2 linked regions of the Saccharomyces cerevisiae S288C genome follow. Changing the gene in region 2 together with the main gene of any one other region gives a genetic interaction. Each region holds a gene or a part of one and is shown on either strand. Other genes may lie near its edges.

Region 1 (7,610 bases), on a different chromosome or scaffold from region 2:
GGGTGATTTGAAGTTGATTCTGCTTTTGTCAGTGAAGGAAAAGAAAAAATGGCGAAAAAAAACTCACAATTGCCCTCTACTAGTGAGCAGATCTTGGAAAGGTCCACAACAGGAGCTACCTTCCTCATGATGGGCCAACTTTTCACCAAACTGGTAACGTTCATACTAAATAATTTGTTGATCAGGTTTCTGTCGCCCAGAATTTTCGGTATCACGGCCTTTCTAGAATTTATACAGGGCACAGTGTTATTTTTTAGCAGAGATGCGATTCGTCTGTCGACGTTGAGAATCTCAGACTCCGGTAATGGAATAATCGATGATGACGACGAGGAGGAGTACCAGGAAACTCATTACAAGTCTAAAGTTTTGCAAACCGCAGTCAATTTTGCTTACATTCCGTTTTGGATCGGGTTTCCACTGTCCATTGGTCTTATCGCCTGGCAGTACAGAAACATCAACGCGTATTTCATCACTCTTCCATTCTTCAGGTGGTCGATTTTTCTTATCTGGCTGAGTATCATCGTGGAGCTGTTAAGCGAGCCATTCTTCATCGTCAACCAGTTTATGTTGAACTATGCCGCAAGGTCAAGATTTGAAAGCATCGCGGTGACTACAGGATGTATTGTCAATTTTATAGTTGTTTATGCCGTTCAGCAATCCCGCTACCCAATGGGGGTTGTCACATCGGACATTGACAAAGAAGGCATCGCCATATTGGCATTTGCCTTGGGAAAGTTAGCACATTCGATCACCCTGCTAGCATGTTACTACTGGGACTATCTCAAGAATTTCAAACCAAAGAAATTGTTCAGTACCAGGCTAACGAAGATAAAAACGCGTGAAAATAACGAATTGAAGAAAGGCTACCCAAAGAGCACATCTTATTTTTTCCAAAACGACATTTTACAGCACTTCAAAAAAGTTTATTTTCAACTATGTTTTAAGCATTTGTTGACAGAGGGTGATAAGTTGATTATCAATTCTTTATGTACTGTGGAAGAACAAGGCATTTACGCTCTATTGTCGAACTATGGATCGCTACTAACAAGATTATTATTTGCGCCGATCGAAGAATCTCTGCGGTTATTTTTGGCCCGTTTATTATCCTCGCATAACCCTAAAAATTTAAAACTATCTATTGAAGTCCTGGTGAATTTAACAAGGTTTTACATATACTTATCGTTAATGATCATTGTATTTGGGCCTGCCAATTCATCCTTTTTATTGCAGTTCTTGATTGGCTCGAAATGGTCCACTACTTCCGTTTTGGACACTATAAGAGTCTACTGCTTTTACATCCCATTTTTATCGCTTAATGGTATTTTTGAAGCTTTTTTCCAGAGTGTAGCCACTGGTGACCAAATTTTGAAACATTCATATTTTATGATGGCCTTTTCTGGTATTTTCCTGCTCAATTCCTGGCTTCTTATTGAAAAACTCAAACTATCAATCGAAGGCTTGATATTGAGTAACATCATTAACATGGTGTTGAGAATATTGTATTGTGGAGTTTTCTTGAATAAATTTCATAGGGAACTGTTTACAGATTCCTCTTTTTTCTTCAATTTTAAGGATTTCAAAACAGTTATTATTGCTGGCTCAACGATCTGTCTACTTGACTGGTGGTTTATTGGGTACGTTAAAAATTTACAACAATTTGTTGTTAACGTATTATTCGCAATGGGATTGTTAGCGTTAATTTTGGTCAAGGAGCGCCAAACCATACAATCTTTTATTAACAAGAGGGCGGTTTCCAATTCTAAAGATGTATAAACAAAAATTCTTATATAACTTAGGCGACACATAATATGCGCTTAAATAACATATAGTGAGTATATTATCAAAAAGCATTCATTTTTTTTTATTTATTAGTCCTTCAGAAAGTTAGTTTGTATGTACTATATGATGTGAAAGTGCTGAAAAATTACCCAATAAAAGATAGGCAACCAAGAGAGAAGCTATTTCACCGTAAAGAAAATCCCTTTCCTTGTCAGGACACTATGTCATCAAGCGAAAACACGTTACTGGATGGAAAGTCAGAGAACACAATACGATTTTTAACTTTCAATGTCAATGGTATAAGAACCTTTTTTCATTATCAACCATTTTCTCAAATGAATCAATCCCTTAGATCTGTTTTCGACTTTTTTCGAGCAGACATAATAACATTCCAAGAGCTCAAGACGGAAAAATTGTCTATCTCTAAGTGGGGGAGAGTTGATGGTTTTTATTCTTTTATTTCTATCCCTCAAACCAGAAAGGGATATTCTGGCGTTGGCTGCTGGATTAGAATTCCGGAAAAGAACCACCCACTATACCATGCATTACAAGTCGTTAAGGCAGAAGAAGGTATAACGGGTTACTTGACAATAAAAAATGGTAAGCATTCAGCAATCTCCTATAGAAACGACGTAAATCAAGGAATTGGTGGTTACGATTCTTTAGATCCCGATTTAGATGAGAAAAGTGCACTGGAACTAGATTCAGAAGGCAGATGTGTTATGGTTGAACTGGCATGTGGAATAGTTATTATCAGTGTATATTGTCCCGCAAATTCGAACTCATCGGAGGAGGGTGAGATGTTTAGATTAAGGTTCTTGAAAGTTTTATTAAGAAGAGTTCGGAATTTGGACAAAATTGGGAAGAAGATTGTGCTAATGGGCGACGTAAATGTTTGCCGGGATCTTATAGACAGTGCCGATACATTAGAACAATTCTCAATTCCAATAACAGATCCCATGGGTGGAACAAAGTTAGAAGCACAATATAGGGATAAAGCAATCCAATTTATTATCAATCCGGACACGCCACATCGGAGGATATTTAATCAAATATTGGCTGATTCACTTTTACCAGACGCGAGTAAAAGGGGGATACTGATAGACACTACGAGGCTAATTCAAACAAGAAATCGACTTAAAATGTATACAGTCTGGAATATGTTAAAAAATTTAAGACCTTCGAATTATGGCTCACGGATAGATTTTATCCTAGTGTCCTTAAAGCTTGAACGATGCATAAAAGCAGCTGACATTCTTCCGGATATATTGGGCTCTGACCATTGTCCTGTGTATTCTGATTTAGATATACTGGACGACAGAATTGAACCTGGTACGACACAAGTTCCCATACCAAAATTCGAAGCAAGGTACAAATATAATTTAAGAAACCATAATGTTTTAGAGATGTTTGCCAAAAAGGATACGAATAAAGAATCTAATAAACAAAAATATTGTGTATCAAAAGTCATGAATACCAAAAAAAACAGCAACATCAAAAACAAATCGCTCGACTCATTTTTCCAGAAGGTAAATGGAGAAAAAGATGACAGGATTAAAGAATCCTCTGAAATTCCACAGCAAGCTAAAAAAAGAATCTCCACGCCAAAGTTGAATTTCAAGGATGTCTTTGGAAAGCCTCCCCTGTGCAGGCATGGGGAGGAATCCATGCTGAAAACATCGAAAACTTCGGCCAATCCAGGTAGAAAGTTCTGGATTTGCAAGAGATCTCGGGGTGATTCAAATAATACAGAATCATCTTGTGGGTTTTTTCAGTGGGTTTAAATATGAAAACGTCAGCTGATATTTTGGGAGAATAAAACACTTTCTTCTATGCCCAAGTTTTTTTAAATAATAAACTGATATTCTATATACATTTACAGTCTTGTTCTTCTTCTTCCATTACTTTTTTCAGCCATAGGCGGTCATCGTCAGTAACCTCCAGAAGTCTCAAACTGGAAGATTCTTGTAGAATTGACACTGTTAATGGTGAACCGACGAGTTCATCAGTAGATATGTATGTACTGATGGACGAAGAAAATGTATCTTTATCCGCATGATTTACTCTGATGTAAGCCAGCTTATCGTCAACATGCAGGAATGAATATTCTACACCTTCACCAAAAATACCATAACTACGTTTCAATGCGTTATTTAACCATTGCCTCCATGTCATTTGATCAATAGCATGTGCATCGTCCACATCTTGATCGAATGAAGTACTATAAATATTAAAGTACGTTAGTAGTTTATTTCTCTTCGGTAGTTGAGACTCAAAAAGTCAAAAATATACATACATTGATAACTTGAAATATTGCCATTCTCTAAAAGTCTTTTTCCCCATCACAACTGGCCATTTATCAAACTATTTATCTGCCTTTTCTTATTCTGATTATCCTATAAAGCTGAACAGTAAAGCTTGTAAAATTACGCGATGACTTATGTATTGAAGTTATGACGTTCTCGATGATCTTCAGTCAAACAACCACTTTCCCGTAACATATGATATATCCCACCCGCTTCCTTGTACGCATTATTACGGTTCTGCTTTGAAGATGGAGATTCAGTACTTGCAGTTATTTGAATTGCACCAGTACTGATCATGCCAAGTTTCTTTGGCTTGTGAAAGAACTTGATATTCTGTCTAAAGGATCTGCTCGTTTTTGTTTATGAAAAGTATATGGAATTATCTACTCTATGTAAAGTAATCTCTCTACTGGTTTTCGTTAGATGGCGCTGTAGAATCAGGCCTGTCGATGTTTTCCTCATTTCCTTCTGGTAATGTATCTGGAACATCGGTGGTCGTAGGTTGATCTGTATATGATGTATGCTCTTCTTCAAGTGTTGGAACATCATCTTCTTCGATTTCAAAATTACTACCCTGATCCATGAAACTGGATAAGTCATTGGCGTCTTCATCGTGGCCAGCAAGCAGGTCATCTGCTTCATCCAAAAATTGATCATGGATCAGGGATGAGTAGCTTGGACCTGTTCTGTTTCCAAACCTTCCTCTAATTTTGGAGATAGCATGCGCTATATTAGTTTTTGTGTGCTGTAAAAGAGACCCGATATTTGAGAAAACGTAAAATCCTGATTTCACAATGTTATTGACAACTCTGTCAGTATTATTGTTTTCTATTAAACCATCGTCACCTAGCCTAATTTCTCCAAACCTTGCAAATCCCCCATTTCTTCTGATACCTCTGTCATATACAAACCATGCGGCAAAGAAAATTATTAAAAGAATTGAAATGAAAATAAATGCAAAGGGACCGGCACTTACTGAGTACTTTTCCTTGAATTCTTTTTCTTTTCCTGGGCAAGCATGTGGTGATGAGGGAGCATCCAATTTCAGGCCACCCTCACAGGTTGATAGAGGGATCTTTCTGTAGCCTGACGATTCAAAATATTCGATTAAATCTGGCTCTTTTTTACAAACGTCTGCAGCATTTGCTGGGCTTAGTCCTTTGACTAATTTACAAGTACCATCGTTAGCTTTGTAAAAGTTGTAATCACACTCGAAATCTTGTCTTGTACAAGAACAGTTTTTGATATTTCTTGAAAATTCAGAAAGTGGAATATTCCCAATAAAACAATTTTCATCGGTTTTACGTAAAAACTCGGTTTGGTGACCAAATAGGCAATTGCTTTTGGAACCCAGAGGAGAGTATTTATAATCTGCGCTTTCCTTACCAGTGATGTCGAAATCACATTGTCTTTCGAAGATGTTTCTAAAATCAATTGTGTACGTTCTAAATGAGCTGCCTCCAATATCTGCTGCCTCTCCAAACAGCAAAAATCTCAAAGCAGAATCCCTGGGAACAGTGGTTATATCCTTTACTAAAACCTTATCAGCGCAGAATTTATAATCTTTCCATGTTTTACCAAAATCGGTAGAATAGGAAATAGAATCAGTTTCTGAGTTTTCAGGAACTAAAACTAAAATCCCACCGTGGTCACCGTATTCCCATTGGTGAGGAGTCTTCTTAACTTCAGCCCACGTTTCGCCACCATCGGTGGTGAAGAAGGTGGAACATTCTTTATATGGTAAAAGGTTAGGACCAACGTTGCCAACGCCGAACATCATTCCTAATGCAGAACCGGAAGAATATGTATCTCTAATATCCTTACGTTCAGTATAGCCATGTAAGTGCAATGAACACTCATCCAGTGATTTGGAGCTGCAAGAAAACTTTTTTCCTTCTGAATCCCTCTTCGGAGGTTTCAAAAAGTTCCAATCTGAACCTTCATTAAAGGTGATCTTCGTCTTCAATTGTTTGTCTTCTTTATTCTCGGCGACCTTGTCACTATTTGAAACGATGTTGGTGAGAATAATGCCTTCGAGACCTTGAATTTTTTCAAAGTCAACATAGCCGAATGTGTTTCTATTAACGGCATGCTCCAACGTGACAAAAGAAGTACCATTTGAGTTGGATTTCAAAAGATTGCCAAAATCGCGTCCTGGTACTAAGTTTGTTGCTAAATGTAAGAATATCGATCCTTTCTCAGACTCTAATATAGTGAATGCCTCTTGCTTCCCAACATCTTCATCATATGGGAATTTTGCCTCGGCAAACTCAGTACCATCGATAGTTACGTATGCTCTCAATTCGTTGTTCTCATGAGGAACAGCAACGATGATATAGCCACCAGTGGATAAGTAGCCGATAATATTTTCAAAGACGGTATTTTTATCATCCTGGAAAAAATCAGTAGAAGAAACTAAGCTTCTTGTCTGCGAAGACTTTTCCTTCACTTGACACATAACCATATCCTCATTTGACGGATATTTGAAAAGTGAGCCCGCAAACTCACAATGAATTGCATTATCAAGCATTTCCGTAAACGTTTCGCCCCCATCATTGGTCAGGTATGCTACCGCATGACATTCCGGACTTAAGATTGACTCACAATTCTTACCACCATAATAGATAAATGTATCCTGTGCCTTAGCGTTAAAGTCTAATGGCATACCTAACTGCCTAGCCTCGGGCAATTTAGCAGTCATAAAAGAGTATCCCCTATCATGGGTAGAGAAAATGCTACCTTTGGAACCAAACAGATAAGCTGAAGAATTGTAGTATGGATTAAACACAACTTCAATAATTGTTTCACCATTACTGTCGAACCTTTTTATTGTTTGTCCACCATCATGAGATATATAAGCTTCTCCTCTTGAATTGATCATGAGGAGGGATTCGTCGGTGACTGTGTCAAAGTATTGATAGAATTGAATCTTGAAATCAAATTTGTTTTCTGTAACCACTATTTCTTTATCATTCGTTCCCTTCTTTGGAACTCCCTCACACGAAATATCCACTGATTTGACTGTCATTGGTTTTTTACATTTATCACCTTTAACTAGTTGCAATGGTTTTACAGGCACAGTTTTTTTCTTTGTCTTATCACATACGTCAGAGAGAACGATTAGGTTGTAGTCTGGTACGCATTTCCCGGTCGCGTCCCTAACAAATTCAAACGCGCATTCGTAATCAGCCTCGGTACACTTGTCACAAGCAGTCTCAAATAATTGTAAGTCTTCAAAAACTTTCTTCACCAAGCACTGAGCGTCCTGTTTTCTTCTTCTGATCTTGTACTTGACTCCATTGACACACTTCCCCTCAGCTAAATTCCAATCCTCGAAATCATTTTCTTCGCATGTCTTATCATTAAAGGCTGTTGAAAAATCAATTGCATAGATGAAATTCGTTGTACCATCCATATGCGCCAAAGTAAACCCATTTAGAATAAATTTAGCTCCAGATCCGTCGGGCGTTGTATTCATTACTTCATTTGGGTAGATAGTAGTTTCTAGCTGATATTCGGTCCAAG
Region 2 (4,359 bases):
TCAAAGATACTCGATAAACAGCAACCAATGTTTCACAGAGTGCCATGGTAAAGAAACACCAAAATAGTAAAATGGGTAATACAAATCACTTTGGACATCTCAAAAGTTTTGTGGGAGGTAACGTGGTTGCCCTTGGTGCTGGAACACCTTATCTTTTCTCATTTTATGCTCCTCAGCTACTGAGCAAGTGCCACATACCTGTTTCTGCCTCAAGTAAGCTATCCTTCTCTTTAACAATAGGAAGCTCACTGATGGGAATTTTAGCAGGAATAGTTGTCGATCGAAGTCCTAAACTGTCCTGTCTAATTGGTTCAATGTGTGTTTTCATCGCGTATTTGATTTTGAATTTATGCTATAAGCACGAATGGTCTAGTACTTTTCTCATATCGTTAAGTTTGGTACTCATTGGATATGGTTCTGTCTCAGGTTTTTACGCTTCTGTGAAATGTGCAAATACAAATTTTCCTCAACACAGGGGTACAGCTGGGGCATTTCCTGTGTCCCTATACGGTTTATCGGGCATGGTGTTCTCATATCTTTGCTCAAAGCTTTTTGGTGAGAACATCGAGCATGTCTTCATTTTCTTGATGGTTGCGTGTGGTTGCATGATTTTAGTAGGCTATTTCTCATTAGATATATTCTCTAATGCAGAAGGAGATGATGCTAGCATTAAGGAATGGGAGCTTCAAAAAAGCAGGGAAACAGACGATAATATAGTACCGTTATATGAGAACAGTAATGACTATATAGGTTCACCTGTGCGTTCATCATCCCCTGCTACCTATGAAACTTATGCATTGTCAGACAATTTTCAGGAAACGTCAGAATTTTTTGCACTTGAGGATAGACAGTTATCAAATCGACCATTGTTATCACCTTCTTCCCCACACACAAAGTATGATTTCGAGGATGAGAATACCAGCAAAAATACAGTGGGCGAGAATAGCGCACAGAAAAGTATGAGATTACATGTATTCCAAAGCTTAAAATCTTCAACATTTATTGGTTACTACATAGTATTGGGTATACTACAAGGCGTGGGTTTAATGTACATATATTCTGTGGGGTTTATGGTACAAGCCCAGGTTTCTACTCCACCCTTAAATCAATTACCAATTAATGCAGAAAAAATTCAATCATTACAAGTAACTCTCCTGTCTCTTCTTTCATTTTGCGGCAGATTATCATCTGGGCCTATATCAGATTTTTTGGTCAAGAAATTCAAAGCTCAAAGACTATGGAATATTGTCATAGCATCGCTTTTGGTATTTCTTGCATCGAATAAAATATCCCATGACTTCAGCAGCATTGAAGATCCTTCTTTAAGAGCCTCCAAATCATTCAAGAATATTTCGGTATGCTCAGCGATCTTCGGTTATTCTTTTGGCGTTCTATTTGGTACTTTCCCCTCCATAGTAGCAGATAGATTTGGCACAAATGGGTATAGTACGCTGTGGGGTGTTTTAACGACTGGTGGTGTATTTTCAGTGAGTGTTTTTACCGATATATTAGGTAGAGATTTCAAGGCAAATACAGGAGATGATGATGGGAACTGTAAAAAGGGAGTGCTTTGCTACAGCTATACTTTTATGGTTACGAAATATTGTGCCGCTTTTAATCTTTTGTTCGTTTTGGGGATAATTGGATATACGTACTATCGAAGAAGAGCAACTGCAAATTCCCTGTAGACGGTGTCATCCTGACATTGCTTTCATATTCTTTTTCACCATCACAAATGAACATTTTAAGAAATATTACTATATACTGGTATATATTCAACATTTTACAACGGACTACCCGTGAAATATTTCCTCAGGGTACTTGAATTCAACGTGCAAGTTTTCAGCAAACTTTATGTCAGAATCACTGAAGTCCTTTTTCCTCCCAGCAGCGTCACCGCAATAATATATCCAATTCAACTTGATGGGAGAAATTTGTTCTGAAACCCTGTATGCACTTTCCAGGTCCCTTTTAAAAAACTCTACCATTCCTGTCATTGGTTTTCGAACTTTTTCGAATATGTTAGGATCATTGTTATAACTTTCACCTAAGCTTGCGAATGTGATCTTACTATGATTTGCTGCAAAAGTTTTCGGCCTTTTAGGTGCTGCATATAGCCATAACCTGTGTGATAACGTTTCTCCTCTCTCATCGTTTTTGATTGCCTTTAAAAATAGCAAAATTTTATTAGTGTACTTGGTGCAACTTTTAGAAGTTCTTGGGACGGTGATGACACCACCTTGGTTAGAAAATATGACTATGACGGCCGTGGGATCATTATCAATGATATTACACAGGTAATCCAGGGTGGATTTCTTGGAGTTAAAATTAATAAACTGCCAATCACTTGCGCTTCTACTAAAACTTATATTGGGGGACTTTGGTTTGATAATTGTATGGTCCAGATCAAAGGCATAAACGTTTAGACCATGCTCGTCGTGATCAATGGATTGTGGAAACTTGGGCGTGAACTTAATCAGAAATGGCAGGATTGTTAATTTGTGGGACATGGGCTTTCCTTCGGTTCAGTTTTCTATGTTATCCATCTGATTTTGGGATGATTTTACAGATTAAAATCGATTTAAAGCCATACGCAAAAGAGGGGAAACGAAAGAAACGCACAGAATTCATTCACATAGATGAAGGGAACAGAAAATGAGAATGTTATATGACAGATAAGCAGCATATTCAGGACATATATCCAGATATATATACATATAAGCTATTAACAAGGAGAAGAAACCAAAAAAAAAAAAAAAAGAAAACATCCTCAGATGATATCAGCTTTACCTACAGTTTCGTAATATTTACAGACGTCAGAGCCACTCAATTTCCTCGGAACAAAGATTTTAGACACTATAGAAACCTCATTTTCAAATCTTGTTGCATCAGCAATCGAATGAGGAAAGTTCACAACTACTAGCTTGTCACCGGTCTTGAAGTTCTCTTTGAAATATCTACCCAAAAGCATGACCAACATACCGGTCGGCAAATTGTAAGCGTACGTGTCACACCCGTATTTTTTGTAGTATTCATTTAATAAAGCCTCATATCTATCATCCCTCAAGGTTCTGTAGTAATCGATGACCTTGACTGGATCGACAAACTGCAGCTCATTTATATCATCGCCTTGTGATTTCTGCAGTACCTTTCTAGTTTCTTCAATGCTGGGTGATAAGGAAAACTTTATATCGACCTCACCTTGTGGGAAGATAGCCACACGTCTTTTCAACCCTTTAACCACATTTTCGAATTCTTCTTCTGATAATGTTGTCTTCGGTTTGTTCTTATCTAAAGACTGTACTGTCTTGACAAATATCACTGTACCGATAATAGCAACAAGGAAAATTTTCTTAAATCCTGGAGCATCTATTTTATCTGATTTGTTAGACCTTTTAGTTGAGCTATCAGTTGATGAGTATCGTGCTCTCAAGAGCAATGGTGAAAATAAGGGTAATTGCTTTTGAGGCAACCCACCGCACACCTTGAAACAATGTCGGCAGCTTGCTAGAACGCTTTTTCTCAGTGGTCGCAACATGTAGGTAGTCTATTTATCTGGGCTCGTTATGTATTAATCTTCCTATGGGGATTCATTCATTTTAGCTTTACCGGCAGTCCTTACAAACCGCTTTTTGAAATTAAATCGACAAACTGAGGAAGAAGAACGGAAAAACAGAAGAAAGCCAAAGGCAAAGAAGCGACCACATACACCTTTTTTTCGATCTAAACTAATCGCCCAAAATGTCGTTGGTCAAACTTGCGAATACGTGTGCTCATTTACAGAACTGCTCGAAAGTTAGAGTTGCCTTAACATCGATCCCATATACGAAATTGCAGCTACAGTTTGCGTATAACCTTTACCAACAAGGGTTCTTATCGTCTTTACAGAAGGGATCGACTATGGGACCAGACAAAGATTTTGTTGAAGTAACACCAGACAATATCTCTACTAGAAGGCTTTGGGTTGGATTGAAGTATAGAGATAACAAACCTGTCCTCAGCAGCTGCAAATTAATTTCCAAACCAAATTCAAGAATACACCTGCCAATGGAAGACATGAAGAAACTATGCTCTGGCGTAACTATTAGAAACATCAAACCACTACAACCAGGAGAACTGATTCTAGTTCGAGCTCATAACAACATTATGGACATTAATGAAGCCATATCCAAAAAGTTGGATGGAGAAGTACTATGCAGAGTAAAATGAATAGAACAATCACATATGACCGTATTTATACGTGTAATTAAAAAATATACGGACCATGTAAATAATAATATTATAAAATGCAGACAATGATGATGAGTATAGTACTACAGTAACGTCCTTCATTCATTACCTTTACTAGCAGTGATAAAA

Evidence for each region. Genes that interact genetically often act in the same process or in processes that back each other up.
Region 1: mutations in TPP1 (region 2) and APN2 impair growth when combined (synthetic growth defect), as found in Saccharomyces cerevisiae (3 studies listed by BioGRID).

Annotation. Positions count from the first base shown.
Region 1 is NC_001134.8:182,353-189,962, forward strand, and holds APN2 (DNA-(apurinic or apyrimidinic site) lyase APN2), read left to right. Parts: upstream 1-2,000; coding exon 2,001-3,563; downstream 3,564-7,610. Other genes in the region: RFT1 (glycolipid translocation protein), read left to right, coding at 49-1,773; POP8 (ribonuclease P), read right to left, coding at 3,646-4,000, 4,076-4,122; PEP1 (type I sorting receptor), read right to left, coding at 4,492-7,610. UniProt on the Saccharomyces cerevisiae protein: DNA repair enzyme that cleaves apurinic/apyrimidinic (AP) sites and removes 3'-blocking groups present at single strand breaks of damaged DNA.
Region 2 is NC_001145.3:568,507-572,865, forward strand, and holds TPP1 (polynucleotide 3'-phosphatase), read right to left. Parts: upstream 2,511-4,359; coding exon 1,794-2,510; downstream 1-1,793. Other genes in the region: YMR155W (uncharacterized protein), read left to right, coding at 45-1,688; AIM36 (Aim36p), read right to left, coding at 2,771-3,538; mitochondrial 37S ribosomal protein uS8m MRPS8, read left to right, coding at 3,742-4,209. UniProt on the Saccharomyces cerevisiae protein: Dephosphorylate DNA's 3'-phosphate termini. Has a role in the repair of breaks in single-stranded DNA.